Caenorhabditis elegans: one gene and its partners. The protein of the gene in region 1 interacts with the protein of each later gene in a pairwise test. Each region holds a gene or a part of one and is shown on either strand. Other genes may lie near its edges.

What was found.
Region 2: the proteins of ifd-1 (region 1) and pfd-6 interact in a two-hybrid assay, tested with the Caenorhabditis elegans proteins (one large-scale study listed by BioGRID).
Region 3: the proteins of ifd-1 (region 1) and dyb-1 interact in a two-hybrid assay, tested with the Caenorhabditis elegans proteins (one large-scale study listed by BioGRID).
Region 4: the proteins of ifd-1 (region 1) and unc-83 interact in a two-hybrid assay, tested with the Caenorhabditis elegans proteins (one large-scale study listed by BioGRID).

Annotation. Positions count from the first base shown.
Region 1 is NC_003284.9:8,819,373-8,827,468, reverse strand, and holds ifd-1 (Intermediate filament protein ifd-1), read left to right. Parts: upstream 1-3,020; 5' UTR 3,021-3,030; coding exon 3,031-3,240; intron 3,241-3,999; coding exon 4,000-4,113; intron 4,114-4,159; coding exon 4,160-4,257; intron 4,258-4,306; coding exon 4,307-4,808; intron 4,809-4,855; coding exon 4,856-4,924; intron 4,925-4,967; coding exon 4,968-5,132; intron 5,133-5,177; coding exon 5,178-5,340; intron 5,341-5,999; coding exon 6,000-6,100; intron 6,101-6,148; coding exon 6,149-6,304; intron 6,305-6,359; coding exon 6,360-6,470; intron 6,471-6,538; coding exon 6,539-6,577; 3' UTR 6,578-6,766; downstream 6,767-8,096. Other genes in the region: rcs-1 (RING-type domain-containing protein), read left to right, coding at 1-138, 612-673. UniProt on the Caenorhabditis elegans protein: Cytoplasmic intermediate filaments provide mechanical strength to cells. Not essential protein.
Region 2 is NC_003279.8:7,280,976-7,286,488, forward strand, and holds pfd-6 (putative prefoldin subunit 6), read right to left. Parts: upstream 2,788-5,513; 5' UTR 2,766-2,787; coding exon 2,708-2,765; intron 2,661-2,707; coding exon 2,590-2,660; intron 2,545-2,589; coding exon 2,420-2,544; intron 2,282-2,419; coding exon 2,155-2,281; 3' UTR 1,989-2,154; downstream 1-1,988. Other genes in the region: rde-2 (SH2 domain-containing protein), read right to left, coding at 1-171, 217-436, 485-886, 933-992, 1,111-1,209, 1,257-1,406, 1,467-1,617, 1,661-1,896; F21C3.6 (DUF4200 domain-containing protein), read right to left, coding at 2,985-3,053, 3,152-3,235, 3,380-3,572, 4,468-4,626, 4,732-4,787. UniProt on the Caenorhabditis elegans protein: Binds specifically to cytosolic chaperonin (c-CPN) and transfers target proteins to it. Binds to nascent polypeptide chain and promotes folding in an environment in which there are many competing pathways for nonnative proteins.
Region 3 is NC_003279.8:1,480,148-1,490,427, forward strand, and holds the start of dyb-1 (Dystrobrevin-1), read left to right. Parts: upstream 1-2,935; 5' UTR 2,936-2,958; coding exon 2,959-3,088; intron 3,089-4,571; coding exon 4,572-4,729; intron 4,730-4,775; coding exon 4,776-4,912; intron 4,913-5,706; exon of another isoform or gene 5,707-5,778; coding exon 5,779-5,864; intron 5,865-5,908; coding exon 5,909-6,104; intron 6,105-7,031; coding exon 7,032-7,263; intron 7,264-7,459; exon of another isoform or gene 7,460-7,480; intron 7,481-7,621; coding exon 7,622-7,948; intron 7,949-8,276; coding exon 8,277-8,528; intron 8,529-8,920; coding exon 8,921-9,134; intron 9,135-10,133; coding exon 10,134-10,174; 3' UTR 10,175-10,280. UniProt on the Caenorhabditis elegans protein: Plays a role in cholinergic transmission and as a functional partner of dystrophin (dys-1), necessary for muscle maintenance. Required for localization of ctn-1 near dense bodies in muscle cells.
Region 4 is NC_003283.11:6,462,232-6,469,071, reverse strand, and holds the start of unc-83 (Nuclear migration protein unc-83), read right to left. Parts: upstream 4,008-6,840; 5' UTR 3,860-4,007; coding exon 3,788-3,859; intron 3,639-3,787; exon of another isoform or gene 3,439-3,638; intron 2,686-3,438; exon of another isoform or gene 2,505-2,685; intron 2,068-2,504; coding exon 1,969-2,067; intron 1,108-1,968; exon of another isoform or gene 899-1,107; intron 763-898; exon of another isoform or gene 623-762; intron 480-622; exon of another isoform or gene 340-479; intron 129-339; exon of another isoform or gene 1-128. UniProt on the Caenorhabditis elegans protein: Cargo-specific adapter that is involved in nuclear migration during development and thereafter.

The DNA of each region.
Region 1 (8,096 bases):
AACGTTTCAAACAAAAGCTCACTGATATGAAAGAATTTCACAATATCAACCAAGCCGGGCTGCTCAGCAAAGAATCTCAAATCATGGAACTTGTGGAAATGGCAAAAATTGCAACGCAATCAAATGTTGTTAACGCACGTGAGTTTATATTTTCTTGCCATATATTTTCTATTAGTGTTCTATTAGTGCTACAGCACTTATTTTCAGTCCCTTTTTGAACGCAGCACTATTAGAGACGGCAGTGCAAATTTTCGAACTAGCTTTTAGTCACAAAAGCTCATCTTTTAAGCAGAAATTCATAAGGAGTGAATATTTTTGTAACATAAAGACATAATGATTTCATGATGTTTGTAAATTAACAATAACCATCAAAAATAATCAAAAATGAACAAAAACACTCCCCCAAATGTCGAAGCTATTGAGGTGACTCATTTAATGGAAAATGGGTGCCGCATTAATAGAAACTGCAGCACTAATTTTCGAAAGGACTATTGGGGTGCAGCATTAATAGAGAAAATACGGTATTGCGCAATGTGTCAAATAGCTAAATAGGAAACTTCTACCGGGTACCTCATCAAATTTCTGAAACCATAACAATTTAGGATTTTCAGCTCAACCAACCAAAATGGATGACATAACAATCAACCTTGCGTCTTTCAATTTTGGAAAATAAAATATAACGGATATTCTACTTATATGATTCAATAACCATTCATCTAAAATTAATTAATGATATTTTCCAACTTTACTGTTTTTTTTTTACTAAATGAACATTGTTTTAAATTCTTATAAGTTATTCATTTGACAGCCAGTTTATGATTTTCATCCAAATAAAGTCTTGACAACATGAATGAGACACTTGTATGTGATTTAAAGGACAACTAACTATTGAAAACGAGTTGGAACCTACCGAAAATTTTGTAATGAGAATCCTATAATAATTCTCAAAAATTGTCAAATGTCCCGTGTCACAGCTATAGGAAACCAGAAATGACAATCATGATTATCCGCTCAAAAAGTAGCTTACTAGGGAATATCTTCCACCAGCACGCCTCAATCTGAAAGTTTTTTAGGTCAAACGGAAGCTAAGATCATTGGCTAACATAATTTATTTTTCGTTTCTGCTGGCGAGTCACACAGGGCTGAAAATTTCCGTCTGAAAATTTAGTACTATTTCTGTTGAAAAGCTTGTTTTTAACGTGTAGAAAAGGCTACATAAAAGTTTTGCACTGAAAGCACCGTTTGAATGGCCGATTGGTTAACGTTTACGTCAATAATCACATTTCGGTGGTTCTTTTCCCACACGGGTAAATTTAATTTTGCAATTTTTCCCAAAACCTGAAATATGCTCAAAAACAGTGTTACATGAATTTTTAGAAAGTCTCGTATCGATTTTAAGCTTCTGGAATAGCAAACCAGCCAAATTCTAATTTTTGGAAAGTTTTTACAGTTTGAAGATTTTCAAACTTGAAGATTCGCAAACCTGGAGCATGCGGATTTTTTTTCACAAATTGTTTTTTTTTTCAAAAAAGTTTTAAAAAAAGGTTCACATTGTAGAAAAACATTTGTTAGTCGCATTCTACCGTTTTTGATGTCTCATTGCACTTTTCCGGCGAAAAATCGGCAAAAACTCACTAGATCTATGCTAGAAAACACCCTATCTTTGAAGACATTCATCTCTGTTGGCAAGTGAAATGCAAAAAAGTTGTCAACTGAAAAGTTGTTGCATATATGCTAAATAACAAATTGCTAGTTGCAACTTTCTTGCTATCTTGATACAGAACGGGGACACAGCCGATCAAAGAAGCTACTCATTTTGCTCATGTTTTCACGATCATATCTCGACAGTCTTCCAAGATAGCAAGAAAGTTGCAACTAGCAATTTGTTATTTAGCACATATGCAACAACGTTTGTATCGAAAATAAGGTATATTTTTATAATTGATGAAAATACGATAATTGAAAATATGAAAATACGTGGCCGCGACCCCGACCCAAAAGTGGGTCGGAGATGCGACCCCGACCCCGAACCGGCCGACCCAAAAAAAGGGCGACCCACTCCACAGGCCTAGCTGTGTCTAAAATTAGCATTTTTTCGAAGTTATGAATCACCATAAAAAAAGTTTGAAAATTTTTTAAAGGTTTTTTACGAATGCCGTTCATTAAATTAAATGTTGAGTATATGAGTTTAAAATACCCTGAACCGTTACTCCTTTTTTTGAAATTTGTGGGGGATCTCTTCTGTTCTGTTGAGATGGCAAATGGCATTCTCATTTTTTCACGTTCTATCACTATTTTTGTTACAGAGAATGAAAACGGAATACTACGTGATGAATGTTGACATATGTATGTTGATCGCAAAATTAAAAAAAAAACTAGAAAGTGAAAAAAAAATTAATTTCGCACATTGAAAATTATTTTTGAAATAACACCCTTGTCTTTGCTAATGTGATATAAATATTTTCTATTAAAACACAAATTGAAAAATTAGGAAGGCAAATCTAAAAGATACTTTGGTTAACACTTATTTTTGCGCTTTCTTCCTAGCCATTGTAAATTTCAACTGACAGGACTGATGAAGTTTGAAATATTCCGGGTCCACTGAGGAATTTTCTAATGATAACATTTTCGGAAACGTTGGACGTGATTTTCAATATGTACATAAGCGCACAACTACGGAAGGGCATGTGACTTTCTTCCTTTGAATAAAAATTTGCGGTAAACTCTGATCCCGAGCCACTACCAATTTCTCACACTTAAATTTTAAACACGATAATTCGTGCCATCTGTACAACTTTTCCGCACTATGATACAATGGCAGCATTCTTGTGGCACTGAAAGTGGTGAAAAAATGTTGATAAGAGAATACGAAGGCTGATAACAGAAATATGCACACTGTTTGTCAGATTATTCCCGTCTTTTCATTTTCATTCACATCACCGCTTTGTTTTAAGCTTTACAGCATATTTCAGTTTTTTTTTGTTTGAAAAACAATATCGTTCACATCATTTTGATTCCAGGCTTTAAAAAATGAGCAAACTCAACCCTCGTGTAGCCCATAATCCGGTGCTATCTCGAATAATTGAGAGTGGGCGAACAAACTTGCCATCTGGAATTACTTCTGCTGGCTCACTGTCCGCATATGCCCAAGCGGCAGCTGTTACGATTCGTGACAATAGAGATCGAGAAAAACGAGAGATTGCAGATTTGAACAACAGATTGGCTAGATATGTTGAAAAGGTTAGTTTTGAGAGCACTGGAGATCAAGAAACGTTTTGAAGAAGTTAAGAAAAAAAAAAAAAAAAACGTGCATTAAATAAAAAAAAAGATAAAGAAAATCCATGTCTTCAATGTTTTCAAGCCTCATCTGTTTTAAAACTAGCATAATTGAAAGCAATATGACCAAACCCTAAACACGGCTATCATAATTGCAAATAAAAAAAATTTCAGATCAGAGAATGAAAAGTCAATTTTTTGTTATTGGTTTTTAATGTAAGGCACACAATTTTATAGACCGAATAACTATCAAATATAACCTATCGTTATTAAAAAAATTGTGCCTACCATAATTCTATTCAAAAAAAGAGTTGTAGTGTTTTTTCAAGTTTTTCTCAATGAACTGCCCATAATTTTGTTCACGTGTTCTAATTTTAAAAAACATTCATTTAAAAAAATATCAAAAATAGAACAATAACGTTTCAGGTGTCTGTTTTGAAACGCCTGAAGTTTAAAAGCAACACGGTTTTATGAGGAAAGGTTTAGTTTAAAAAAATCAACGTTTAATACTCTGGTGTGTAAATTAACAAGCTGTGAATCTAAATCAGTAATACATTTAAAAGAACTTTTGTGGGTTTTCTTCCAAATGGTCAAGCGCGCATTAGTTTTTAATTTGCTTTTTTTAAAATTGAAGTGAGAAGTTTTGATCAAGTTTCCATAAGCATGCATGTGCTTTTTCAATGATAAGATTTAGTTAATTGATAAGTAAAAATAATATTTCAGGTCCGATTCCTTGAAGCTCAAAACCGGGTTCTCGAGAATGACATTGGTCTTTTCCGCCAAGCTGCTCATATTCATACTGGCAAAGTCAGAGACTACTACGATGCAGAGAAAACCGTCAGTTTCTAGTATTTAGGTTTTATTTCATTACTCAAATTTACAGTCATTGGCAACTCTGGTTCGCGAGCAGGAAGCCAAAGTGTCATCTGCTAAGCAGAATATTCGAAAGCTGGAGCCAGAAATCACAACGGCCATTAGAACGTGAGATAAAGAGATAAAAAACATAAACTTCAATTACATTTTGTTTCAGCCTAGCGAGTTCACTCGAACATCGCCAAAGAGTTCGTTCTGATAAAAAGGAACAATTGAAGCATTTATCTGATTTGGAGTCTGAGACAGCATACATCAAAAGACTTATCAATGATTGTGACGATGAAAAATCTCACCTGAAAACCGAAATTTCTCGCATTCGTGGAGAAATCAAGCGAATTTTGGCACTTCGTGACAAAGAACGCAATGGATTTTCTCGTTCCCAAACAGCTGCTCAGGATCTTTTGAAGAAGTTGAATGCAACGATTAGTACTCACGAAATTGCGATTCGTGAAGAAATTAACAAGGCCAGACGTGATTCTACAGACAAGAACCGCGAGTTCTTCCACAGAGAGCTTCACATGTCAATGAAAGAAATCCGTGATCAATTCGAGTCAGACTCGAAGAAAGCTCGTAAAACATGGGAGGAGTGGTACAAGAAGAAGATTACCGAAATCAAGAAACGTTCTGAGAAATTCAGTCTTACCCAGAATCAAGCAAGAGTAAGTGACATGCACTTTGAGGTTGTGAATTAATTTGTTATTTCCAGGAAGAAGTTCTACGTATCAGATCATTGCTTAATGAGTTGCGCACTAAAATTTCCGACGCAGACTCGATGGTTGGTTTTGATTTTGGAAAAACTAATTTAAAAACAATTTCAGACCCAAGCTCTTAGCAAGAGAATTGAAGATATGAAATTCCGTGAAGATGAAGAATTGAGAATGTTTGAACAATCCCTCACTGAAAAGGAACTAGCAGTGACGAGAATGAGAGATGAATGCGCAAAACTATCTGTTGAACTTGAGACACTAGTTGAAAACCAGATCGTAAGTTCAATTTTCTATATAAATAAAAAGAACCATGATTTACAGAACCTCCGCAGTGAAATTGCTCACTACCGCAAGTTGATGGAACAAGCTGAAAATCTGCGGACAAGCTACCAAAGCGATTTCGTAATCGATACTCCATCGCCTTTGATGCGCACATCTTCTCATCATTATGGATCATCATATTCACTGAATGTTAGAGATACACGTTAGTCAGTTTACAATTTGGTTCCTGTTAATTTGTGCTTTACAGATGGCGTTTTGACCAATGCGCGATTGCATTAGTTTTTTTTTTTAATTAGCTATAAATTTTCTTAAAGGTGACGTAGCGCTTGCGGGGAAAGTGTTTTATCGTAATCATATGGTGCCAAAATGACCAAATATCATAATAAAACTTTTCGAAAAGAATTTGGAAAAGTGACTATTACTCAGTTTTTGCACTCATAATTTTGGATGTCGACCAAAAATCATTTTTCTACTAATTTTGTAATTTAATTCTGTTTTAATTATTTGTGTTAAAACATTCTAAGGGGAAAAACATTCTAACAGTCAACATTGGTCTGTATTTCCTTGAAAGCTTTTCTTTTTTTAATTTTACAATTTGTTAAAACATTGACGGTAAATTTTAAAAATCCAAAAGTTTTTAAAGTGCTATACCATGATATTTGATCGTTTAGGATCATTATATGTGTATTTAGACAAAATCCCTCCTTGTTGGTACATTTTCGGTCGAAAGGTAAAGTTTGGCATTTTTAGACCAGTAAAGCCAAAATAATTTATTCACCTGTAAAAGTGGCACATTCTCGGCTTTCAAGCATTCTATCGTCGTGACCGTAATCGAAACAAAGTAGTTAAAAATAATTTCAGATAACAAAACAGTACACCATGATAACTACGACATTAGCTCCGCATCGACCATTAACACCCAACAGTTCCGAAGCTATGGAAAAGGAGATGTTAAGATTATTGTTAGTGAATATTATTTTGGGCAATTCAAACTGAAAAAAAATATTTAGGAGCACAAAGATGAATCAATCGTCATTGAAAACTCAAACAGCTATAAGTCCAAAGATCTTTCTAACTGGAAAATCAATCATTATGTGAATGGAGCGCTAACTGGAACGTTCATCTTACCAGTTGCAACTCACATTCACCCACATGAGAAGATTTCGGTATGATAATTAATTTTGATTTCATTTTTGAAATATATATTAAAAACAATTACAGATTCATTCATTGAAATCTCCGAATTTAATGGATGATATTGTTGCTACTCAAATCTACAGCTTCGATTTCTCCAAAAACACAAAGACAGTTCTTCTTGATGATGTTGATGACGTAAGCCAATTTCATTGAGTTTTGCTTGTAAACTTCCCTATTGCTAATCAAAAATGCATTGTTTACAGGAAGTTGGATGGTATGCACACGTATCGTACAGTCATTGATGGAAACCGATAATTCTTTCATTTTAACGTTTCCTGGAGCATCCAACGTACAATGTTTGAGCACTTTTCTATGGGAAACACATCATTTAACATTCAAAAATTAACATGGCATTTCTTATCTATTTATTGTACGCTTTGTTACGCGATGCTCGATTTAAATTCTCTATGAGTGCAATGAACTTTACAAATAAGACGATGGCGAGTCTCTCGAAGTACAAAAAAGGGAACTGAGAAGACATTAAGAACTCGTGGATTAATGGCACGCATTTCGAAATGAAAATGTTGTGGTCAAAAATAGCAACTTTTGGAACTTATACATATTAAACTGAGGATTTTTTTTATGGAAAAAACATTGTAGAAGAAAATCTGTTTTCAGAATTGGTGAGGTGAAGTGATGCATAATTATGAAAAATCGTGTTACTCTGATTTACGGCATCTTAGAAGTTTTAACGTCAGTTCTCATTCTGACAACCTTGAGTGGGAAGTTTTTTTTTGAGATTGAAGTTTTGAGACTGTTGTTTCAACAGAAATCAATTCATTTTAGAAGCTTGGCATGACAAGTCAAACATGGCCTTTCTAACCTTTCCGGCATGATCATGAGCATGACAAAAAAGTTTGAGAAACGTAAAATATACTGCGTTCGGGGGGAATCGAACCCCCGTCGAATGCTTGGAAGGCATCCATGCTGACCATTACACCACGAACGCATAGTTGAGGCATCAAATCTTCAGATGGAAAGATTTCATTTCATCTTCAGAAACAGTCATTATAACAAGAAAGATATCCACAAGGATACCTGGTTGTTGAATTATTCCTATGAACCTGTTTTACACTGTCTAGGATTGATGAGAAATAAAGCATGATAAATCAATTGCAACTTCATCAAAACGAAACGAGCGTTCGTGGTGTAATGGTCAGCATGGATGCCTTCCAAGCATTCGACGGGGGTTCGATTCCCCCCGAACGCAAAAAATGTTTTTGATTCAACTTTTTTTTAATTCTTAGATCTTCCTACAATATATCTAATTTGACGCGTGTTTTACTTCCGGCTTCTATGCTTTACAGGAAGGCAAAATTATTCAAAATGTTCGATCAGCAGTAGATCACAAATTATATTTCAAAGACAATGTAAAATATAATGCGTTCGGGGGGAATCGAACCCCCGTCGAATGCTTGGAAGGCATCCATGCTGACCATTACACCACGAACTCACAGTTTCATCTGCCGAAACGGCAATTGATCCTGAATCATGCAAAAAACGTGAATTTGAAGCATAGCAGATCCATTTTTGATATCTCTCACACGGCGTGTAAATTGGTACCTCTGGCCTAGAAAAAAGCTTGAAAAACAAATGTACGCAATTATGAAAATGCGCGTGGTGTTTGCGGACTTGACTACCGTAGTCCACATAAATTTTAGCAATTAATACTTCCCGGTTTCGGTTTCGTGTTATATGAAAATATCCTTGAATTCAAGCAAAAAATGCATTATCTTTTTGGAAAAGAATAAAAGAAACACT
Region 2 (5,513 bases), on another chromosome or scaffold:
AATGATGATCCGAGTTCATCTCTGTGTTGTCATGATATTGCTCCACTACTAGTTCAGGTTTTGAAAGTGCGATTTTTACTTTCATTTCAAGCACTCCTCCGAAGCATCTGACCGAGTTTTTAAAGCAATCAATTTTAAGGAGAGAATCTGGCGTGTCTGGTTTCTTTTTCACTTAAAATTAAAGTTTTTTTAAAACATTGGTAAATTGTAAAATACCTGCAATATGTGTATATGGAATCTTGAAAATGAGCCTATCTTTTGTTTCAATTCTACGAGGCAAGATATCGAAGAATGCCACGTCTCCGAGTTGAGGGGATCTTTCCAATCCTTCACACGATCTTTCTTGAAGCAAAACGTTTATAACGTCTCTTTTGGCTGTGTACAAAATTGCAAAGCCATCGATTTTTTGCACAACGGTGCATAAAGCAGATTGAGGCTGAAATATGGTGATGAAGATTAATATTATTGTTCTGGCATTACGTACTTTTTCGGAATCAGTTTTATCTTGACGAAGCAGTTGAAGCATCGTTGGAGCTAAATCTTTAATAAACGGTCTCATCGGAATATTAGATGTTCCACGTGTTCCGTATGTATCTTCATCATCAATTTCATCTTCATCTGATAACTGATTTGAATCAATAACTGGTGCTGCTCGACTTGAGATTGTAGTCTGGGACAAGGATGAATCAACTTGATTCAATTCGATACTTTGGCTTCGAAAAGTTTCCGGAGGTATTTCCCGATTCTCTGACACAACTCTAGAGGAATTGTACGAATCAGATGTCTGCGAGTTCATTTGAGAATGCACGTCTTCTTGATGTTGACTTGATTGTTGATCTTGTACGTCGGTTTCGGGTGTTTGAACATATCCATTACCAGTCATAATCTAAAAATGTGATTACTTGAAAAATTCTGAACTATAAGTCACATACATCCAACAGTCTTGTATCATGAAGATACTGTACATCAGAATCAACGACTGGATTCGGGAGCTGAAATTATATTATGTAAACTGCAGGAGGTTGTGGCTTATATGTTCTGGGAAATTTTGATAAGCAAAAACCAAAATGTGAACAATTCAAAATGAACCAGGACACTTTTGCCACATACTGATTGATATCCATTTCGGCTTACAGCATCACAGGTGTGTAGCTTTTGTGGATCTTCATGCACACTCAATGCGACCCAACCTGCCAGAGATGCTTGAGCCTGCAATATTTTTATTTTAATAGTTTTTTTTAAAATCGATAACTTACTTCAACAATAAAACTGCGTCCATCATAGTGTTGACATGATGATTTGATCAGACTAAAGTCGTCAATAATATGATCATAGGAAATATCGTAACTGGTGAAATCATACAAATTATTTTTCCGATCTACTATTACATCAAATCGAGCTGTTATCTGAAAAATTATAAAAATCCGTACTCTTTATTTATTAAAACTTTTTCCATTTGAGATTACCAAAATTTCTCCTTCATCGTTAGCCTCATACTTCGGAAAGAATCTCGCCGATGAATTTCTGTGATTCGGCAAAACGTCCCAGTTTTCATATCCACAACTATTTGAGGAATCCAATACGTATTGTCCCACGAAGTTCTGACAAACAGTTAATCTAAAATTGCTAGTTAATAAAATCAGATAAAATAATGTCTAACTTTAGCCAGCGTCCTATCTGCAGGCTCTGAATATTTCCACTGATTTCGACAAATCCATCGATATTTTTGGTATAGAAAAGATAATTTCTGTTTCCATATTTATTGTAACCAACTACCAATCCATATATTTGGGTTTGCGGTTGTTGAATTTGTGGTTGGGGATTATACGACGATGATGGCTGACTTTGAGCATAATAGTGATTTGGAGGAAAATAAGAATGGTACCCATTATGCATCTGAATAGCAAGAAAATGAATATAGTTATAAATCAGAACTGATGTAATTAGCAATGACTTTTAACATAGACGTGAGCACAAATGGTATAAAACAGTTTGAAAGCATTTATTGTAAATGGTTCCCCGAAACAAGAAACTTATTTTTTTCATAGAAAAATTAATGTGATCTTCTCGTTTCGGAGAAACACCAGAGATGAAGAATAGGCAAAAAATAACAAATTAAGAGCAAAAAATATGAGATTCATAGAACAAACTGGATTATTTCTTCTGTGCTTGGGCTGCTGCTTGAGCCATCATCTGGAAGCTTTTTTGCATATTCATCACCTTGTCTCGCTGTTCCGTACACTTCTTCGAAATGTCTGAGATGCTGGCTTCCACTCGTTTGCTGAAAATTGTAATTAAAGTTTTGTTGCATTTTAAAACGTTTAAAGGTAAAATTTATTTGTTATTTTTATTTGTTTCGTGTAAATCAATAGCGTGCAAGAAGTAATACTAAAGAAACATGATAAACGTTACAACTCACGTCTCAGAGTCGATAAACTCAAGCCGTTTCTCCACAGTCGATCGAGCCTCCTCCAAATCTTGACGAACAAGAACCGCTCCGATGAGTTTGTAGACTTTCGAGTCGGATTCCATCAGATCAAGCTCCTGAATGAAGATAACATGAAAACTGAATCTCAAACTTTTTCTTACCGCTTTCACATTTTTACTCTCAGTTAATCTCATTTCCATCTCTTGGCGACTCGTGAAGTACTTTTCGCGGTCTATAATTAAACGATTGAAAAGATTGTTTAAATTAACAGTTACTAACCTTTTTCAAGAGTTCTGAGCTTGTTAACTTCTTCTTCGAATTTAGCCATATCAGCCATTTTGATCGTTTTTAGTGGGAAAAGAAGTGAAAGAAAACAAAATTGTGTTTAAAAATCTAGAAGAAAAACGGGTTCTGCGCCATCCTTCAAAGCGCCAGCAAGCTTTCTTGACGCATTTTCCGTTTTTGGCGGAAGTTCAAAACTGGATTGTATATGTTAACTTCAATTTTGTTATGCTTTTGCTAAAATTTCATTCAATAGTGACAATACGAAATATTTTCAATATAGATATTTCCAGAATCGTGAAAACCAACTTTGCATGGAATCTTGATAATATTCTTCGCGTATCTGAAAGTTTTAGCTTAATTATATACAATAATTAAATAAGTTTCTTGTAAGTTCAGGGTATTTCCCTAGGTTCTATAAACATAAAAATATATTCTTACCTGTTTTGTCTTTTTCAATTCTGACTCTAGTTTTGATAATTGAATTTCAGAAGAACGAAGTCGGTCTCCAGCAGCGTTGAAATGCTGGAAAAAAAATCAATTTTGTTTTAGCCTTGATCCACTTTTTTGAAAGTCTAAAAAAAATTGAATAAAATATTTAATATACACTGTATCCAAATATACTAATAAATCATAAAACAAATCGTAAAACAGAAACCATAAACTCACCGATTTTTCAATTTGTTGTGTTTGAATAAAATCATTTGAATCGGTATATAACTGCACTTTGATTGCATTTCTTGACTCCCGATAATCACTCATCACATTCTCAACTGCTTTTTGTCCAGATTCAGCGTCTTGAAATACTTTCTCGAATATTTCTTGGCGTTTACGAAATTCTTTCTTCTGATTTTCCGTTTTTCTGAAATTGTTTGAAAATTCAACAAATCAGAATGTTCACTTTATTTTATAACAAAACGAAATTTGAAATTGCAACTTTTCTAATCTTTACAATCACTCTAAAGTGAAAACTACAAGACCAATAAGGGATTCGCTCCGCCTACGTTCAGACCAATCAGTGACGCTACTCCGCCTTCATCCGTTGATTGTTTCAGTAGTAGGCGGAGATAGTCGCCGATTGGTTCTTATTAGGAAAGTCGCGTTTCACGTGGTGTCAGGCTGTCTCATTGCGGTTTGATCTACGAAAAATGCGGGAATAGTGTTCCAGAAAATTGTGACGTCCGCACGCTCTTCACCGTGCGAAATCAGATGAGATGTCTGCGTCTCAATTCCCGCATTTCATGTAGATCAAACCGAAATGAGACGTTCTGGCTCCACGTGGCGTTTACGTTAGGTTTTTATCGCTGCTCTTTGTTGATACTACAGAAATTGAAAATTTTCGAGTACTTCAAGACAAACCCCAATTCAATCAAAACGTTGCCAACTATTTTATAGGGATCTTAAATAGTTCCAGATTAGTATTAATTCATGCTACCCAAACTTTAAGTTACGGAAAAAAAAAAGTTTTGAAACTTAGTGATGTAATGCCAAATATCAAAGTTTACCTCACTTTAATACGAATATACCTATTTGATTATGTTTCTGAGAAACATTTCAATTTAATAGCTAAAAACCAACATTCCACCTACATCGATTATCATATCAAATTGCTTTTTTCCACCTGTTTTATGAAAATCGGTAAAAATGGTTGAAGAAATTGACCAACAAACATGACTTTTTGCAATTAAATATTTTTTTATGAATAACAAAGCAAAAGAAATAAGTTCCTTATAATTAAAAAAGGAAATTACTCCTACCTTTTTGCAAGCTCCGCCTCTTCTCTAATACGATGCTGCTCCAATTGTTCAGCTACCTTCTTGAGCTCAATTTCCCTTCGCTTTTTTCTCCATTTTGTACGTTCCCGTTCTCCACGTTCACTTTTTGTCGGTGACGACGATGGCGATGACTTTTTTGTTCTGAAACGATAATTGGATGGTCCCCCGTCCTAAAAATGGACATCTGCCGTTGATCGACAATTAGTTTGGCGCCGAATGGGTGCCGACCTCCTCTGAAGAACTCACCTAGCGAGCTCTTCTTTCTTTTTTCTTTTTTCGATACCGCCCGTTTTTTTGGCCATTTTGCATTAATTTTCGGAAATGATTCAAAGTTTGCAAATTTCTTAACTAGATATTCAAAATTTTGATTCACGTGTACTCCAATGAATTGCAAAATTGAAAAGTGACACCTCAACTTTTATGAAAAGTTAGGAATAATTTGTTACTTCCAACTGTGTTGGTCTACAAAGCATTCTATATATAATACATTATATTTAAACCAGCCGTGGACCGCACCTACGGCGCGGCCCCCGACTTTTTGAGAAAACACATTAGATATACGGTGTCTATCGCGGACCTCGATCGATGTCTGCTGCGCATTTAGCATAAGGTTTCCCAAAATTTCGTTGCTCTGATCAAAGATCAAACTACATAGGGACAGAAGGACACGCGCTTTATATATAGTAAATGATGATATAATGAGCCAACACAAAATATGTATCATTAAATCATTATATCATTAATGATATTTATCATTCGAATATTAAAACCAAATATATTTTATTAACTAGTTGATACCACAAAACTCTGCAAGTTAATTTGATGGCTTTGAAGATTTGAATATCATTTTTAAATATCCAATTCATGATAATAAGTTATTTCATATTTATATAAGGAATGAAACAGTTTTATATTTGTTCAGCTCTCTGGATAGTTTTGAAACTCTTGCTAAACATTTCAAAAAACATTTAATACATTACCACTTCTAAAATGTCTCATCCATTCTATTTTCTGTTTTTCCGACTCCC
Region 3 (10,280 bases), on another chromosome or scaffold:
GATTTCGAACCTGAATTAATTAATTTCACTGATTTACGCCTGTAATCGTGTTTTTTAATCGAGCAAAAATGCACCGAAAACATTAAAAATCGGTGGAAAATAACAATAAATAAAATAAATAAAAATAAAAACGTGCAAGCGCGCTCCATCGAACAAATCCAATTGGCGGTAATTAAAATAAGAATTAGGCAAAAACTGAGATTTTTTCAATTTTCAAAAAATCATATAAAATTTAGAAAATTTTTTTGAATTTTTTTATCATGATATTATGTCATTGTGGTACCATAGGCGTGTTTTAAAGCAATTTCCCCACTAGCGCTACTCCACCTTTAAACGATCCACGTGTATTCAGCTCGACCAACGCCTCGAAAATTTTCTAATTTTCAAAATTTTTTTTAATAATTTTTTTTTTCATTGCCAAGAGGAATTTCACCGCAGCGCGTGCAAAAATGTCTGCATTTGCGCGTGACGGTGTTTGCACAAATGACACCAAATGGTCGAGCTGAAAACACGTGCGATCTTCGTTTAAAATTAAAAAAAAATTGTACCAGAAAAAATTGATACAAACCTTAATGAGCTCGTGAAAAGTTACACGGATTTCTGGCTTCCGTCATAAATTGAAATGGAAGAGTTTTTGCCGAACTAGGCCATTTTGGCTCGGCCATATCTGGGGTAGATTTACGGCGCGTTGCGTGTCGCGTCGCGGCTTGATTTTAGTTGTCAAACTGAATGTATTTGTCCGTGTGGAGTACACAACTTTCCCAAGTTGAGTGGAGAAATCGAGTCAAAATGCAATAACATTGAATAAAGCCAATTAATAAAAAAATTTATTTGAAAAATTTTAATAAATTTTACGAAAATCGGCGCTTAAATTGAAAACCAATTATGCAAAATGCGATGTGACGTCACAGGGTATTTTCCCGCCTTTTCGAGTCATCATTTTAGCAGTTTTTTGTGTAAAATTCGTGTAGATCACGGGTAGATCACACAATTTATCTCTTATTTCGTATTTCTGTTTTTTTTTTTTTTTTTTTTTCATTTTGATCTACATCAGGGGTGGGCGGCAAACGATTTTTCCCGGCAATCGGCAAACCGGCAAATTGCCGGAATCGAAAACTTCCGGCAAATCGGCATACCAGCAGTTTGCCGATTTGCCGAATTTGTCGACAAATTAATTTGTCGCCCACCCCTGATCTACACGAATTTTAAACAAAAAAAAACATTCCGCATAAAACCGCCTCCTTTTAAAATTGTGAAAGTGGAGAAACAAACACACGTTAAGCCAAAATTTCTTTCATTTCGTGGCCTAGAAAATCCAAAAACTTAGGCCACTAATTTTCTCTTCCTCATCCACTTCGTAATATCCCTGTGTATAATGCGTATACTTTTACACCTCATTGAGTTGAGACGGATGGGGTGAGGGGTCCCAATGTTTCAGTGGGGGCCCCCTATCTCTTTTTCTCTGCACTCTCTCTCTCTCTCTCTCTCTCTCTCTCTCTCTCTCTCTCCATCTTTCTCCGTATGCTCACATTCATCCCACCGCTGCTCTCTGAGCCAATACGTCTCCCCCCCCCCCCTCCTCTCCTTTTGCACATCGATCCGTCTTGTGTCTCTCTTTCTCTAATACTCTCTATTTCTCTAAGTCTCTCTCTCTCACTCACGTTTGCCTAAATTCACTTTCTCCAGTGTTCCCTTGAGTGCTCCGAGAGCAAAAGCGTATACCACGAATTAATTTTTAATTCGTGTATTTTTGGCTCGATTTTCCCTTTTTTTTCAACATTTTTCTAAAAATTATTGCTGCAATCGCGCTTTAATGGCAATATTACCTGAAAATTCGTATGTTGTTGCAATGCAATCGCGCTCTATTGGACAAATTTTTAATCCGAATTTTGAAGTTTTCTTTAGTGGAAATCTCTATTGAAATTTTTTTATAAATTGTTTATACAAACACGCTCTAATGATAAAAAGGCTTTAAATTGTGTACTCCGCGTGGAAAAAAGCAAGTTTTTTGTTGTATTTTTTGAAAATATTTTTTTTAAAGAACTTTTTTTGAATACTCTGTGTAGTTCTCGTGGACAAGTTTGGGCCTATTTCGCTTAAAAACCTGAAACACGCGAAATTCCAGTTTCGGGGGATTTCAACTACCCGATTAGAAAAAAAACTTTTTTCACAAATTCAATTTCTGCCGAATCAAAATTCTCCGGAATTCAAGTTTCCGCGAATTTCAACCTAAAAAAATTTTAGCTCAAAAACCGTAAGGTAGTTGAAATCCACGGAAACGAAAATTCCGGCGAATCAAGTTTCCGTGGATTTCAACGCTTATTGAACAAATTTCTACAAAACGCCCCCGGGAGTTCAAATCCGCGGAATCGAAATTCCCTGGGATTTTGATTTACCGGGATTCAAGTGGTGTCAATGGGAGAGGAAATGCATTTTCTCTTACGCGCGTGGTGTCAGAGTGTCTCATTTCGGTTTGATCTACGTAGATCTACAAAAAATGAGGGAAAAGAAGAGACGCAGAGTTCTCAACTGATTTCTCATTCCCGCATTTTTTGTAGATCAAGCCGTAATGGGACAACCTGATACCACGTGACCGTTATTATTTTTCTCTCAATCCTGAGATTTAAAATCCCGCGGAGTCGAAATTCCCCAAAAATATTTTTTGTACTCCTCGTGGACAACCTCGTTGGTTCCCTGAAACATATTGGCTTAGTAATGTGCCAAGCAAATCAGCGCGCATACATGCAAAACCCATTAGGCTCCCCCCAAATGTCTTCTCTCCCAGAGTTAGACTCCGCCCACTAGGAGCCAGAGCTCCCCCAATTTTCTTTGTTTTAAACCCTACCACTTTTTAGCTCTGGCCAGCCATTTTGTGGGTGGAGTTTTGGTTTAAATTTTTTTAAAATTGATTTAAAATTTAAATTTTAAATTTCAGACACTCTGGGTTTTTCTCCTGAAATGTTGTGGTCAAATGGTGGAGGAGGACCACGTGAGCCGAGCAGTGCACCATCACCAGACCATCATCGTGCAATGCATTCTGTACCACCAATTGTGGCATCTGAAATGCAACAATTGATTGATGAAATGCGTGGGTGTTCAATTTTGCGGGAAAATTGGCTAAAAAACGCTAAAAAATTCCCGCGTTTTTGATTCTCCGGAATTTTAACTTCTATGGGATTATTTTTCGGTGGATTCGAATTTTCGGAAATTTTCAATAAATCTTTTTTCATTAGAGATTTTCAAAGAAAAAGTAGAAAAAATACCTAACTATGTAAAAAAAATTAACGGAAAATCTCCACGTTTCTAAGTCTTCGGAATTTAGATTTCCCTGGAATTAAGTACTCGGTGGATTTGAATTTACGGGATTTTTTTTCTTTAAAATTTTTTTCAAATTTATGTTCAAGTTAGCACAGCAAAAAAATTTTTTTTTTAATTCACGTTTTTGAATCTACGGAATCCAATTTCCCTGGAATTTCGCTTCCGCGTATTTGGATTTCTGAGTTTTTAAATATAAATTTTTGCAGAAAATGTGAAAATTACGTGGAAACTCAAAATTCGCCGAAAAAGGACAAAAAATCTCGAGTTTCCAATTTAGCGGAATAAAAATTCCCGGGAATTTTGTTTCCGTGGATATTAACTACCCAAATTTTTTACCATTTTTCTCAATTCCAATTTCAATTTTTTCATGGAAAAATTGGTTAAAAAACGCAAAAAATTCCCGCGTTTTTGATTCTCCGGAATTTTATTTTCTCTGGGATTTTTTTTCGGTGGATTTGAATTTTCGGAAATTTTCAAAGAAAAAGTAGAAAAAATACCTTATTATGTAAAAAATTAACGGAAAAATTTCCACGTTTCTAAGTCGTCGGAATTTAGAGTTCCCTGGAATTAAGTACTCTGTGGATTTGAATTTACTGGATTTTTTAAAACAAAATTTATACGAAATGCTCAAAGTTGATACACTCTCCAAAATGTTCATGAAATTTACAAGTTAACACAACAAAAAATGTCAAAAAACTCCGCGTTTTCAAATCCCCCATTATCGAAATTTCACGGGAATCCAGATTCCAGGGAATTTGGCATTCGGGGAATAAAATTTTCGGATTTTTTTCTATGAAAATTAGTCAGGGTCTGGATAAAATAACAAACGAGTGGAAGCAAAAATTTCGCCGCAAAAAGAACAAAAAACTCGAGTTTCCAATTCCGCGGCATAAAAATCCCGTGAATTTTGTTTCCGCGGATATCAACTACCCGACTTTTTTAAAAACATTTTTTCTCAATGCTCAATGTTGTCGAAAAAACACGGAAATACCTTCAAAAAAAATCCAAAAAAAAAACCCTAAAAATTCCGGTATCCAATTCTACAGAATCGAAAATTCCCTAAGAATTTTGTGGATATCAACTACCCGAGTTTTTTTTTGAAAATTCATGAATTTTTCCGCTACTCCTCTTGAGAAAGGGAAGCTTATAAATAATTCTTCTTTGCGAAAAAGTGCAAAAAAATTATTGGCTTTCATTGGTTAATGCCCAAAGTTCAGAAAAAAAGTTGAATCATCAATAGAGCGCATTTTCAGGTCTCCAAGATTTCGACTCCATCAGATTTGCCACGTATCGAGCCGCCTGTAAACTGCGATTTATTCAACAAAAGACGAAAGTTCATTTGGTAGATATTTGGAATATGATTGAAGCTTTTCGAGAAAACGGACTCAATGCATTACCCCTACATACTGTGGTATGTTGCAAGTGTGCTCTATTGAGAATGTGGGGGAAATTTTCAGATCAAAACGTCACGCGCCGAGCTTCTGCTAACTACAGTATTCCACAATTTGAATAAAAGACTTGTAGCGTCACAACATGTGGACACGGATGTATCGATTTCTTTGCTACTCGCGTTTTTGTTAGGTGCTTATGATAAGTGAGTTTTGGACTCCTCTCGGACAAAAAACTCACGCTTCTGAATCCCCGGAACCCAGATTCCCCAGGAATTTAGATTCGGCAAATTCGAAATTCTAAGAATTTTTTCTTGTGTTACTGCGTGAAAACTGTGTATTTAGAATTCCAATTTTTACTGCAAAAAATAACGAAAAATATTCGGGTTTTCGTGTCTCCAGAATCTAGATTCCCTAAGAATTTTGATTCCGCGTATTGGAATCTACGGGATTCAATCTACACATGTTCTGTAAATAACAGAAATTTTGGTAATATATGAAAAAATTTAAAATCCTAAAACTGAAAGAAAATTTCCGGTTTTCGGATCCGCGGAATTTCACATTCCACCGGAATTTGGTTCCCACAGATTTCAACTATCCGAAATTTTTTCTGTTTTTTTTTGTTTTCAGCATAATGTTTTGATTTTTCAAAAATGAAAATTGACTGAAAGAGCAGAAAAAATCTCAGGGTTTCATATCTCTGGAATTAAAATTTCCCAGTGAATTTTTATTCATATAAGGACACTTTGCAAAAAAATTTTTTTTTGATAAAGTCACGGATTTCTGGCTTCCCTCATAAATTGAAATGGAAGAGTTTTTGCCGAACTAGGCCAGTAGATTTACGGCGCGTTGCGTGTCGCGTCGCGGCTCGATTTTAGTTGTAAAACTAAATGTATTTGTCCGTGTGGAGTACACGACTTTCCCGTCCGGCAGGCGATTATCAATGGAGCGCGAAAAATTCAATGAGGAAGGCCAAAACCCCGTGCGCAGTTAGGCTGTAATTCTCACAACGACACTCCGATATTCCGCTACCTAGAAGTGACGTCACACGCTTCAAAAGCCAATTTTTCAGACAAAATACCGGACGTTTGACGGTTTTTTCAATAAAAGTCGCGTTGGCAACACTCTGCGCTGGAAAATTGGTGGACAAGCTGAGATGTGAGTTGCGCTTGCGAATTTCAAAAAAAAATCTGAAATTTCAGACATTTTCTCTCAAATCGCTGATTCGAATGGATTAATGGATCATATTAAATTTACTGATTTTTTGCAACAAATCCTCTCCCTAACCACTGCAGTTTTCGAAGCACCGACGTTTGGATTTTCCGAAAACGCGGTTAATCAGTGCTTTCATAAGGATGAGAAAGTATCTTTGAATGTGTTTCTGGACACTTTTTTGAGGTAGATATCAATTTTGGAAATAAATAAAAAAATAGATTTTAGAAAAAGTTTTGAAAAAGTTTTGAAAAAATTAACCTTTTACACAAAACTACGTTAGCATGTGGTGCCAGGTTGTCCAATTACGGTTTGATCTACAAAAAATGCGGGAATTTTTTCGCCCAAAAAATGTGACGTCAGCACGTTCTTAATCATGTGAAATCAGTTGAGAACTCTACGTCTCTTCTCCCGCATTTTTTGTAGATCTACGTAGATCACGCCGAAATGAGACACTCTGACACCACGCGCGAAAGAGAAAATGCATTTCCTCTCCCATCGGGGGGAAAACCAGTCCCTCAACTCACCCAGAATAATAATTTAGGTGTCTTGGAAGTTCTGAAACACCTAACATTTTGAAAAATTAGAAAAAATAATAGACGTAGGGCTGAAGTCCTCCCGCGGCCACGTAAGGCATCCCCGTGGCCTAGGATTTTCAGAGCGGTGTAACTTTTGAAAAACTGTAAAAATTTTTTTTTAATTCTGCAATAATTGTATCTATAACTTATTCAATGAAACCAAATCAAAAAATCGAATTTTTCTTTTCATGGGGTCACGGGTCCCCACGCCGCCACCGAAGTCCTCGCCGTGGCCTAGAAACTTTCAAACAGTGCATCCCTAAAGCCACTGCGCCGATTTTCTTGAAACTTTATCAGAACACTTTATATAACAATTTCTATCAAATTATCAAATAAAATCGAATTTTAGTTGTCATGGGGTCACGGGTCCCCCCCCCCCCCCCACGGGGTGACCGAAGTTCTCACCGTGGCCTAGAATCTTCAAAATGGTGTAACTCTATAGCCACTGCGTTAATTTTCTTGAAAATTTATCAACCAACACTTTGAAACCTGTTCTGTCAAATTATCAAAAAATCATACAAAATTAATATTCCAGCGATCCATGTCCCCCATGCATAATGTGGCTCCCCTTGCTACATCGAATGGCGTCTGTGAGCAACGTGTACCATCCGGTGGTGTGTGATGCGTGTCAAGTCAGAAGTTTCACAGGATTTCGGTATAAATGTCAGCGATGCGCCAATTATCAGTTGTGTCAAAGCTGTTTTTGGCGGGGAAGGACGAGTCAAAATCATTCAAATGAGCACGAGATGAAAGAATATTCCAGCTATGTGAGTTTTTTGAAAAATCGATTTTCCACGTGGAGTACACGAAAATGTATCTATAAAGCGCGCGATAAAATTATTGATTTTCCGCCGGCGATGAAGAATCGATAAAATTATTGATTTTCCGCCGGCAATCAAAAAAATCGATAAAGTTATCGATTTTCATTCGACAAAAACGATTAGTTAACAGAGAAATTATCAATTGCTGGACAACAAACAATCAATAAAAATGTAGATTTTCCGCCGGCAATCAAAAATCGATGAAATTATTGATTTTCCGCCGGGCAAAAAAAAAATCGATAAAATTATGGAAAAAAGCGTTCTCAACTCCAAAATCAATAAATCAATAACTTAGTAATTTCAGAAATCGCCGACAAAACAGCTCGTACACTCAATTCACAAAAGTCTCCAATGTATTCCTGCCACGTCAACCGTCGGCGATGCAAACATCGATATTTTTAACGCAAAAATCGGTGGCCCGGTCAGCAGCAAACCTGCTCGACCGCTAAACCTGAACAACATCGTCCCGGCGACACCGACGACGATCCGCCGGCAACACGCTGCCACGTCATCAGCGGACTGGCCGACGTCACCGGTACTTCTGCCGGGACAGGCGTCGCATGGAGGAGTTATTGATGATGAGCATAAGCTTATTGCGAGATATGCAGCAAAGTTGTCGGGAAGGGCTGATGTGAGTTTTTAATCGAAAAAAATCAGGAAAAAATCAATAAAAATCTTGATTTCCCGCCGGCAATAAAAATCGATAAAAATCTTGATTTTCCGCCGGCAATAAAAAAAATCGATAAACATCTTGATTTTCCGACGGCAAACAAAAAAAATCAATAAAATTATTGATTTTCCGCCGGCGATAAAATTCGATTAAATTATTGATTTTCCGCCGGCAATCAAAAAAATCGATAAAATTATTGATTTTCCGCCGGCGGCAGAAAGTCAAATTATTGATTTAATAAAATTTGATCGATTATCGATTTTTCTTTTTAAAAATCAATAAATTGCAGTATCCCCTATCAAACGGTCGAAGTATGAATAGTTCAATGGTCGGAGACGAACGGACCCTTATTGCTCAACTGGAAGAAGAAAATTCAATGATGGTACGGGAAATGGCTCGACTGGAGAGCCAAACAACTTCCGATGACGGGCTCGCCGGGCTCCGCGACCGGAAAATGGAATTGGAAGAGAAAATGTTTGAAATGCAACAGAGGAGGAGAGAATTAATGATGCAATTGGAGCATTTAATGGCTCAGTTGAATGTAGGTCATACCTACTGTGGCTAACGCGCTCTATAGATAAACAATGTAAAAATCGATAATTTTGCAGAATTCAAAAACAATCGTTATATTTTCCTCCAAATTTAGAAAAAATACTTGATAATTTTCAAAAAATTCGAAAAATCGATAATTTTTATATTTTAAGAAAACAAAGTTTTTGGAGTTTTTGATTTTCCGCCGGAGATAAAATCGATAAAATTATTGATTTTCCGCCGGCGATAAAAACCGATAAAATGTGTAAACCTGTCGATTTTTTAAGCTTCAGTAAAAATCAAAAATTCAATATCGGCTTTTCTGAAAAATTCAACCTTCAAAAAATCAATAAAATTAAATTATCGATTTTTTGATTTCAAAACAACAAAAACCTTTTCCAGACGGGACCCCAACCATCAGGAGGTGTATCATCTGCTTCTCTATCCCAATTACCATTCACTGCATCGGATCAACAGTTGACTGGAGTCAATTCGACAGTAGCAAATGCATTCCGTGCGGGAAGTCTGCCGGCGACAAGTCTACAAGGAGACTTATTACATGCTGCTGATCAAATTACTACTAATATGAGCGATCTTGTGCGGCAACTTGATTTGGGTGAGTTGTGACGCTGGTTCATAAATTAAAATATATATAATGACTTGGTGACTTGGAAATATTTTCCAAAAATCGATAATTCTTATTAAAAAATCAATAATATTGGAAAATCGATAAAATTATTGATCTTCCGCCGGCGATAAATAACTATGATATTATTGATTTTCCCCCGGCAATCAAAAAAATCGATAAAATTATTGATTATTCGCCGGCGATAAAAAATTGATAAAAGTATTGATTTTCTATCGGCAAAGACTATCGATTTTCTCTCTTTTGCGGCAACTCGATTTGGGTGAGCTCCGACGTTGGTTGATAAAAATCGATAATTATTTTGTTTGGGGAAAAAATCGCCAAAAGTCGATAATTTTAATAAATCAATAATTTCGAAAAATCGATATTTTGGAAAATCGATAAACATAGATTTTTCTGATCACCGCAACTCGATTGTGATAAAATCAATAATTTTGAAAAATTGGCAACTCGGAAAAATGGTTCAATTCCAAAATGATTATTACAAAATCGTTTCGAAAATCGGCTAATTGGGAATAACGAAAATTTCAAAAAATCGATAATGTCCAAGAATAGATAATTTTCATATTTTGATACTGCTGAGAAATTGAGAATTTCTGAAAATAATTTTACTGTTGGTATCTAAATATCAGTAAAACTCTTCGCTGCGAGACCCACTGCCTACGCCTTGAAAATGAAAGTTCCCAGCTTCACAAATGTATAATAATACTATTCGCTGCGAGACTCACTGATGCACCATTAAATTGGAACTTCCGAGTTTCACAAACGTATAATAATATTATTAGCTGCAAGAGCCACTGTATGCGCCTTGAAAATGAAAGTTTACAGCGTCACCAACGTATAATATTACATTTCCCTGTGAGACCTTCCTCGTGTGCCTTTTAACGGAAAGTTTACAGCTTCTCAAACGTATAATAATACTTTTCGCTGCGAGACCCATTTCGGCGACCCTATAATAATTTTTTCCAGCTCAATCAGACGAAAATGGCGTAACAATCAATGGCTTCTGAAAAACCTCGAATTCCTCCAGATTAATCTCAAAAAATTGCAACTCTCATATCGGGTCGCCATCGTCCAAATTGGCTCCGAGCTCAATTTCCATTGTTTTTTTTTGTA
Region 4 (6,840 bases), on another chromosome or scaffold:
ATAAGACGAGTATCGGGTGCGTGAAGTGTACCGCTGGTGCTCCTGTCGCTAAGCATGCTCAACGACAACTCGGGTGCCCGATGGTGGTATAACTAACAATCCGCAAACATGAGATGACTCCGTGTCTTTTCTCCTTATTCTTCTTCCGTTACTGTTCTCGTATTCTTCACGCATGTTCGCGCCCCTATATCTTGTTATTGTTCAATGCGGAACGAATTTTGGAACTAAAGATGGAAGGCTTTAAGTTTGAGAAGAATTTCATTATGTTTTGCTTCAAAAAATTTGATATTTAAGGCAAATGAATTTTACAAAATCAGTTAAAAAAACATTGAAAAAGTTTTGAAAAAAACATAAAAGTGCGCCTCGTTCTAAAATTTGAAAATATCCAGATTCTGATATCTTTTTCTGAGAATTTGGAAACAATTTTTCAAAAACAACATTATAAGTTCACTAAAGAAGTTAAGTGATCTGAAAAAAATTAGCATCTCAGTTATCTAAAAGCGAAAAATAAAGAGCAAAATGTGCCAACCCACTTAAAAGGAAACAAATGATCTGCTCAATCTGTGTCTGTCTGAACGGGATTATGTTACTCCCCAAAAGAAAAGGAGGACGTTCGAATAAGAAAACGAGAGTAACACATCCCAAGTAAGCAAACACTGCCTCAATCGGAACACGTCCATTGGGGATTTGCTGTGGACAGCATTTTTGACAAGAAATTTGCAGCATTTTTGGATTCAGAAAGTTGACATGAGTTTTTCGGGTTACCACTAGATATTTGAAAAATTCAGTTGTACTTTTTTGGAGTGATGAAAATAAAAAGTAATTGGTAATCTTCTAATTACAACCTGATCCCCTATTGTGTCAAAATTTATCATTGAAAAGTTTAAAATTTCTAACAATAACTTCAACTCAATTCCCATCTATCTCTTGGTTCTCAACAATCTCCAATTTCATTCGGAACGGCAAAACTGCGCACACTATTGGGGGCCACTTTTCTGTGGTTCGGGGGGCGAGATGTTATTCGATACTATTTGGTATAATAATTTAGGAAAGCTAATTGAATCGAAATGTGTGGCATTTTCTCAGGAGTCAGTGGCAGATAAAATGAAGGATCTTCATCAAAATGTTTAGTAGTAGAGGTTGCACAATCAACCAACTACATTTGATTAATGGGTGACCTTCCAAACAAACGGCAATTGCCACAAAAATTGGGTGAGTATATTGAATGAGTGTGGGAGGATAAGAAGCACAGAGAGATGAGTTGCAGTGGTCATTTGTTATCTCATTGAAAAAGAGCAAACGATTTGAGGATACTTTCTTTTTAAAAATTTTAATCATCGGATATTGAGAAGTACAACTTTATACCTTCAAAAATTGGTTTTTTTTTGTTGTTTACTCTATGATTAACCGCTTAAATTTAGATGTAGTTCATGGAGTGAACAAAACTTACTAGTTAGAGCAAGAATAAGTTAGCTATGTTTTTGTGAATGGGAAGGGTTTATTTTAATTTATCATTCCTAGATCAACAAGTCTTGAAACTTCAACCAGAAATTAATTCTGGTAAACTTTATGTAAAAACTGTATTTGGAAGATTCAAAAATTCCCTAAAGCACAGGCAAAAGGCTTGTCAAGTGAATGTTTTCAGTTATCCATCACCACATCTGCCGTAATATTTTCGTACCAGGCTTGTGTTCAATTGACAGGCTCGTAACGTTTCTCTTTTTGATAATTGATGACCCCTTAAACTATTGCTATCTCTTGCTCAATCAAATGGACAACTGCCTCAAGTTTGCAAAACTTGATCTTGATATCAGAGGGCTAAGCAAAAAACTTTGTTCAAAGAAAAACTAGAAGAAAATCGAGAAAAACAGGAGGTTCTTTTGAGGCCAGCTACACCTAATTACTCTCCCAGTTTCACTTGATCCATGGCAACCAAACGACACAAGCAATAAAACAAATAAGACTTACTTTTGAGGTGAGGTTGTGCAACGAGTCGAGGATTAAATTGTAGAGCGAGGAGCAGTTCTCCAAAAAGATATCCACTTCCTCAGCCGACGATTCGATGACCTGGAAATTAAATTATTGATCATTAAAATGGGCAAAGTAACAGCTGGAAAGATATCTAGGAGATATTTTTAACGATGGTTGTACACGCGCAATTCGATCTTGTACAGCTGCGTAGTGCAATTTAATAAAACAGTTTATAATTTGATACAAATAAAAAACCAAAAAAGGTGAAACAAGATTTTCAAAAAAATGTAATTTGTTATTTTCATTATTTAAAATTGTCAAAATTATTCTGAAAAATTAAAATATGCGCCCATTTTTCTAAATGACCCTCACAAACGATTTAACGACAATCAATGGCCACCCGCTCTACCAAAAAGAAGTGCTTTGCTTTCAGTGTGACTGTAAAATTGGTAATTCCGAGTCAATTTACGATTTCTCGACCTTCCGGGCGGCCCACTTTGCAATAAAACGAAGAGTAAACCTGACGTTAATCGATTCAATTGCCAAAATTGAGAGGATCAAGGAACATGGCACAGGAATCGTTGTGTAGGAACAACCAAGTTTGGAGAAATGCACTCGAACTTGCAAGTTGCTCTTCACTGCCGAGATGCGCACCTCGAGAAACACTTATGGTATTGGGCACTCGGAATCATTCTCTTCTTACTAACAGCTTTTGCCAAACAAAGTTACTAGTAGTCGCGCTCTGGGAATGTGTGTGAATGGCGTGAGGATTCAATGGTCCGCATATTGTTTTTGGAAACAAAAAGAGAAATATGGGGTAAGTCAACAAAAAAAGGTGTCCATGAATGTGTTGACTTTGCGGTACCTTAACAAGGAAATCTGGGAAATACCTATACTTACTAATAATACAATGAAATATTTTACAAGGAACCTAAGGTGTCAGTCAATTATTTCTCATGCGAATCTTTTAAATATTAAAAAGTATCGCATTTTAAAGGTTTTACACATCATTTAGCGGACCAATTTTGATAACTTTTATGTTTTTCCTGAAAAATGGCTCTCAAAATTATGTGCAAAATCTCTGAAGATCAATATAATTATGTTGTCTGAACTTGATTCTGCGCTTTTTTGCTAATAAATGTACTTAGCACATAGAAATAATTAATATTTTTTAATGATAAATTTTCGCACACTGAAATATGGGAATGTCTTAAAATCTCTTGAAATTTAAACTCCCGTCATCAATAGTTTTACACTTTCTCCTTCAAACTTCTTTTCAAGATAACCACAGTTTTCAATTCAATTTACTTCGTCGTCCCCCACCAGATCAAAACATTCGATAAGAAAAACTAAACGATGCGGAATTTGAATGTGCGACACTAACTCTTTCCACCTCCAGTTATAAATCTTTGAAGCACAGCGAAAAAAAACTTCAGCCGTTCGTCTTTAGTCAATCGAAAGAAAAAAAAAGATAGCGTGGAATTCGGGATTTTTTGCGCCAAAATTGAAAACTCGGCCTCTCGGGCTTTTTGACAGCTTTTTGCAAACAATTGATGGCGCAAGGGTAAATGCTCAAGCATTTTTCAAAAAGGCACTTTCAATAATCAAATAGATTTGAAAAATAAAATTATTTTCGCTCGTTTTGGTTTAGAAAAAAACTACATTCTACTTTGGTTTGAATAAAGAAATCGAACTTTTAATTTTTTTTCTCCTACTTTTAACGAAATTTTACTTTTCAAATGAATTCAATATGCAAGAAAATGCGTTGAAAATTTTAAAGTATTTTTTTTTCGTAAAATTTAAAGCTCTGCCTCACCTTCAAAAGATGGTCCTCCGATGATATATCATTGGGCATCTCGACCTCCGAGAATGAGTCCATTACGTCCATTCGTAACCTGTTTTCGGGTTACTTTCGGTGTCCAGGAATAAAAATAAAAAAATCAGAGAAGTTTGTATCCAGACGTGGGATACTGTACTGGTAGGGGTGGACGATCAATTACGCATCTGCGCAATATGATCACGGATGAGAAACGGATCTGGAAAAATTTAGTTTAGACGGAAAAATACTTAATCAAAACGAAATGAGGTGAAAATTTAAAAATAGAAAAAGTATATACAATTTTTTGTGTGTAGAACAAAATAGGAAAAATTTCGTGAAAAACAAAGAAAAAGAGATTAGTTGTTTCATTGGAGCTGAAAATAAATTTCAAGAAGAGATTTCTGTTGAGATCAAAGTCAAGAAACGGAAATTCAAGTCATATTGAGGATAGAAAATTTGCAAAATATATACTCAATTCAAAACTAGCCTAGTTTACCAAAAATCTATGAAAATTGTGTCGAGCAGTAAAACATCCTTTTAAAGATAATAAAAAATGTTTTTAATAAAAATGTAGAAACACACGAAAAACTTCATAAATGTTTTACTTATGTATAGTACGGTTTCCATAAAATTTGTTAGGCCAGTTTTTGAAAATCCAAATAAAAATCCATGGATTTCATGCCCTGGACAACAAGCCATCGCCCGCAAAAATGTTCGCAAATTAAAAGATAAACATAGAAAAGTGTGAGATGCTCGAAATCTGCCCCCCAATCCGAAGTCTCCGCCTTAATAAACAATAATACTGATGAGAGAGGAGAATCTAGAGAGTTGGGAAGAGAAGCTTGTGATGATGATGGATTATCATGTCATTCACACAGTTTTCGTTTCTTTTCGACACCTGATAAAATAATAAAAGATGATAATTATGATGGAGATATTGTTTTATGAATTTTTATGAAGATTTATGAAGATATGAAAATATGAAGAGATAGGTGTGAAAGTGATAAAAAAGAGATTGGACCAGGGAAATCAGCTGGAAGATTTTATTTTGTGTGAAAAAGTCTCGTGATTTCCAATAAAAAATATTAAGCAAAATTTATGGAAATTATCACAACGAGGTCCAAGAAATTTCCAAATTACTACAAAATAGGTTGTAGCTTTCAAAAAAAATGTAACTTGATTTAGAAAGTTCTGGAAAATATCAATTAACAAAACGTTGGAAAAAATATTTTTGAACTTGTTGAAAATTGAATTAAATTCCTTTTTTTTAAATTCAAGTTTCCACCCATTCATTTTTCAATTAAAATTGAATCTATGGAAAACTGGAAAGGAACAAATCGAAATTTTGAAAATGTTCACGAATAGATGTCCAACAGCACATGGCCCTGACACTTTTCGAATTTATTGGTTTTGTTGCAACAGGAAGTTCCCCCAATAAATGTGATAGAAACACAGTGAAACGATGGGATAATGGACCCAAGTTAATGGAGTCGGAAACGGCAGACAGCCCCGGCTCATTTATCACCAATGTGCGAAACATTGTGATACTAAAGTAGAAAAGGAACACTTTGTAGTGCCCGAATGTTTTACGAGTTTTAGAAATGATTTGAAGTACAATTTAGAAATTTCATACTTGAAATATTCTGAAGAACATTGCAAAATTTCAAAAAGAAAACATTTGTTTCTAGACTAACATCAAAATTACAACGCATTACCAAAACTGCAGAATAAACTTCGAACGTCGTGTCTAATTTGTTTCACAATTAAAACTATTTAGGCCCTTTGTCTCAAATGTTTGAGGGAATCTACGGCAAGTACTTGCATTACTATCAATTTGGTAGAATGTTGGCTCTGCATTGGTTGATAATAAAAAAGAAGAGACAACCGTTTTTATTTGATAATGCAACAAAATGTCGCCCAAACTGCGCTTCTCGTTTGCCCCCAGTGACTCATAGAGGGGTAACACTTTCAAAAACAGTTAGAAAACTTCAGCTCCTTCTCAAAATGCGTAAAGCCATTAAAAAGTTTTCAAAAGAAAATTATGCCTGAGCTGATCAGTTAATTGAAGAATTTTGAGTGTTCAAATGCCAGCAGAGAATTTCCAAAAACACTTTAAAATTTCAATATTAATTGTAAGCACATTAATAGAAATTAATTTAAATTCCAATATTTCAGAATACTTCCTTTTCTCCGAAAACCTTTCAAACAATGTCATCTTCAAAATGAACATGATGCTAATCAGTTCATTGATAATTTACTTGATACTCCTATGCCAATGGAGTCATAAAGGTTGAAAAACTCAGTCGACACGTAAACATTTACTACCACCTGATACTATCTCGATTGCTACTGTGAAAATTGGCAGGAATGCAAGAAAACAACGGGCGCCTGTAACTAAAGGCGGTCAGCACCAAGACAAAAAACGACAAAGAAATGATAATTTGTGTATGTGTGGAAGAAACGCAGACAGTTGAAGAAGTCAAAGACATGATTGAAAAAGTCAAACAGTTTGTGTTGACGACGTGGGAACCATCAGGAGACACACATTCGATTATCGAGCTGTTTTTAGTTTTCTTTTTGAAGAATGATAGTCTAGGGCAAGCGTGTGGGAGTAGAAGGGTTGAGAGGAAGACAGTGCAACATTGCTGGCTGGGTGCCAATTTTTTCAAATGTGAGAAATTGATCATGTGAATATATTTATAGAGACTGACATAGATAGACAGATGATTGAGAAGCAGAGTGATTGTGGGAACAAGATGGATCGTATTGTAATTTTGAAAGGAACACGAGGTTCTATAGAAAATTAGTAAGTAGTGTTTATTTTATTTTAATTGCATAAAAATAATTTTCTGATAGCATCACAAATGTCAAAAACATGTTTAGTTTGGCTCTAGCTAATTATCTAAGTTGAACTCAATAAATGTTAAATTGTGTCAAAAGTTGGGACTAGTTGGGCAAACGATGGGCAAGTTTTGGGAAGACTTTGGAAACATTTGGTCAAGTTTGACCCATTTTTTGTCAAACTCTTGCCAAGTTCAAAAAAATTTTGG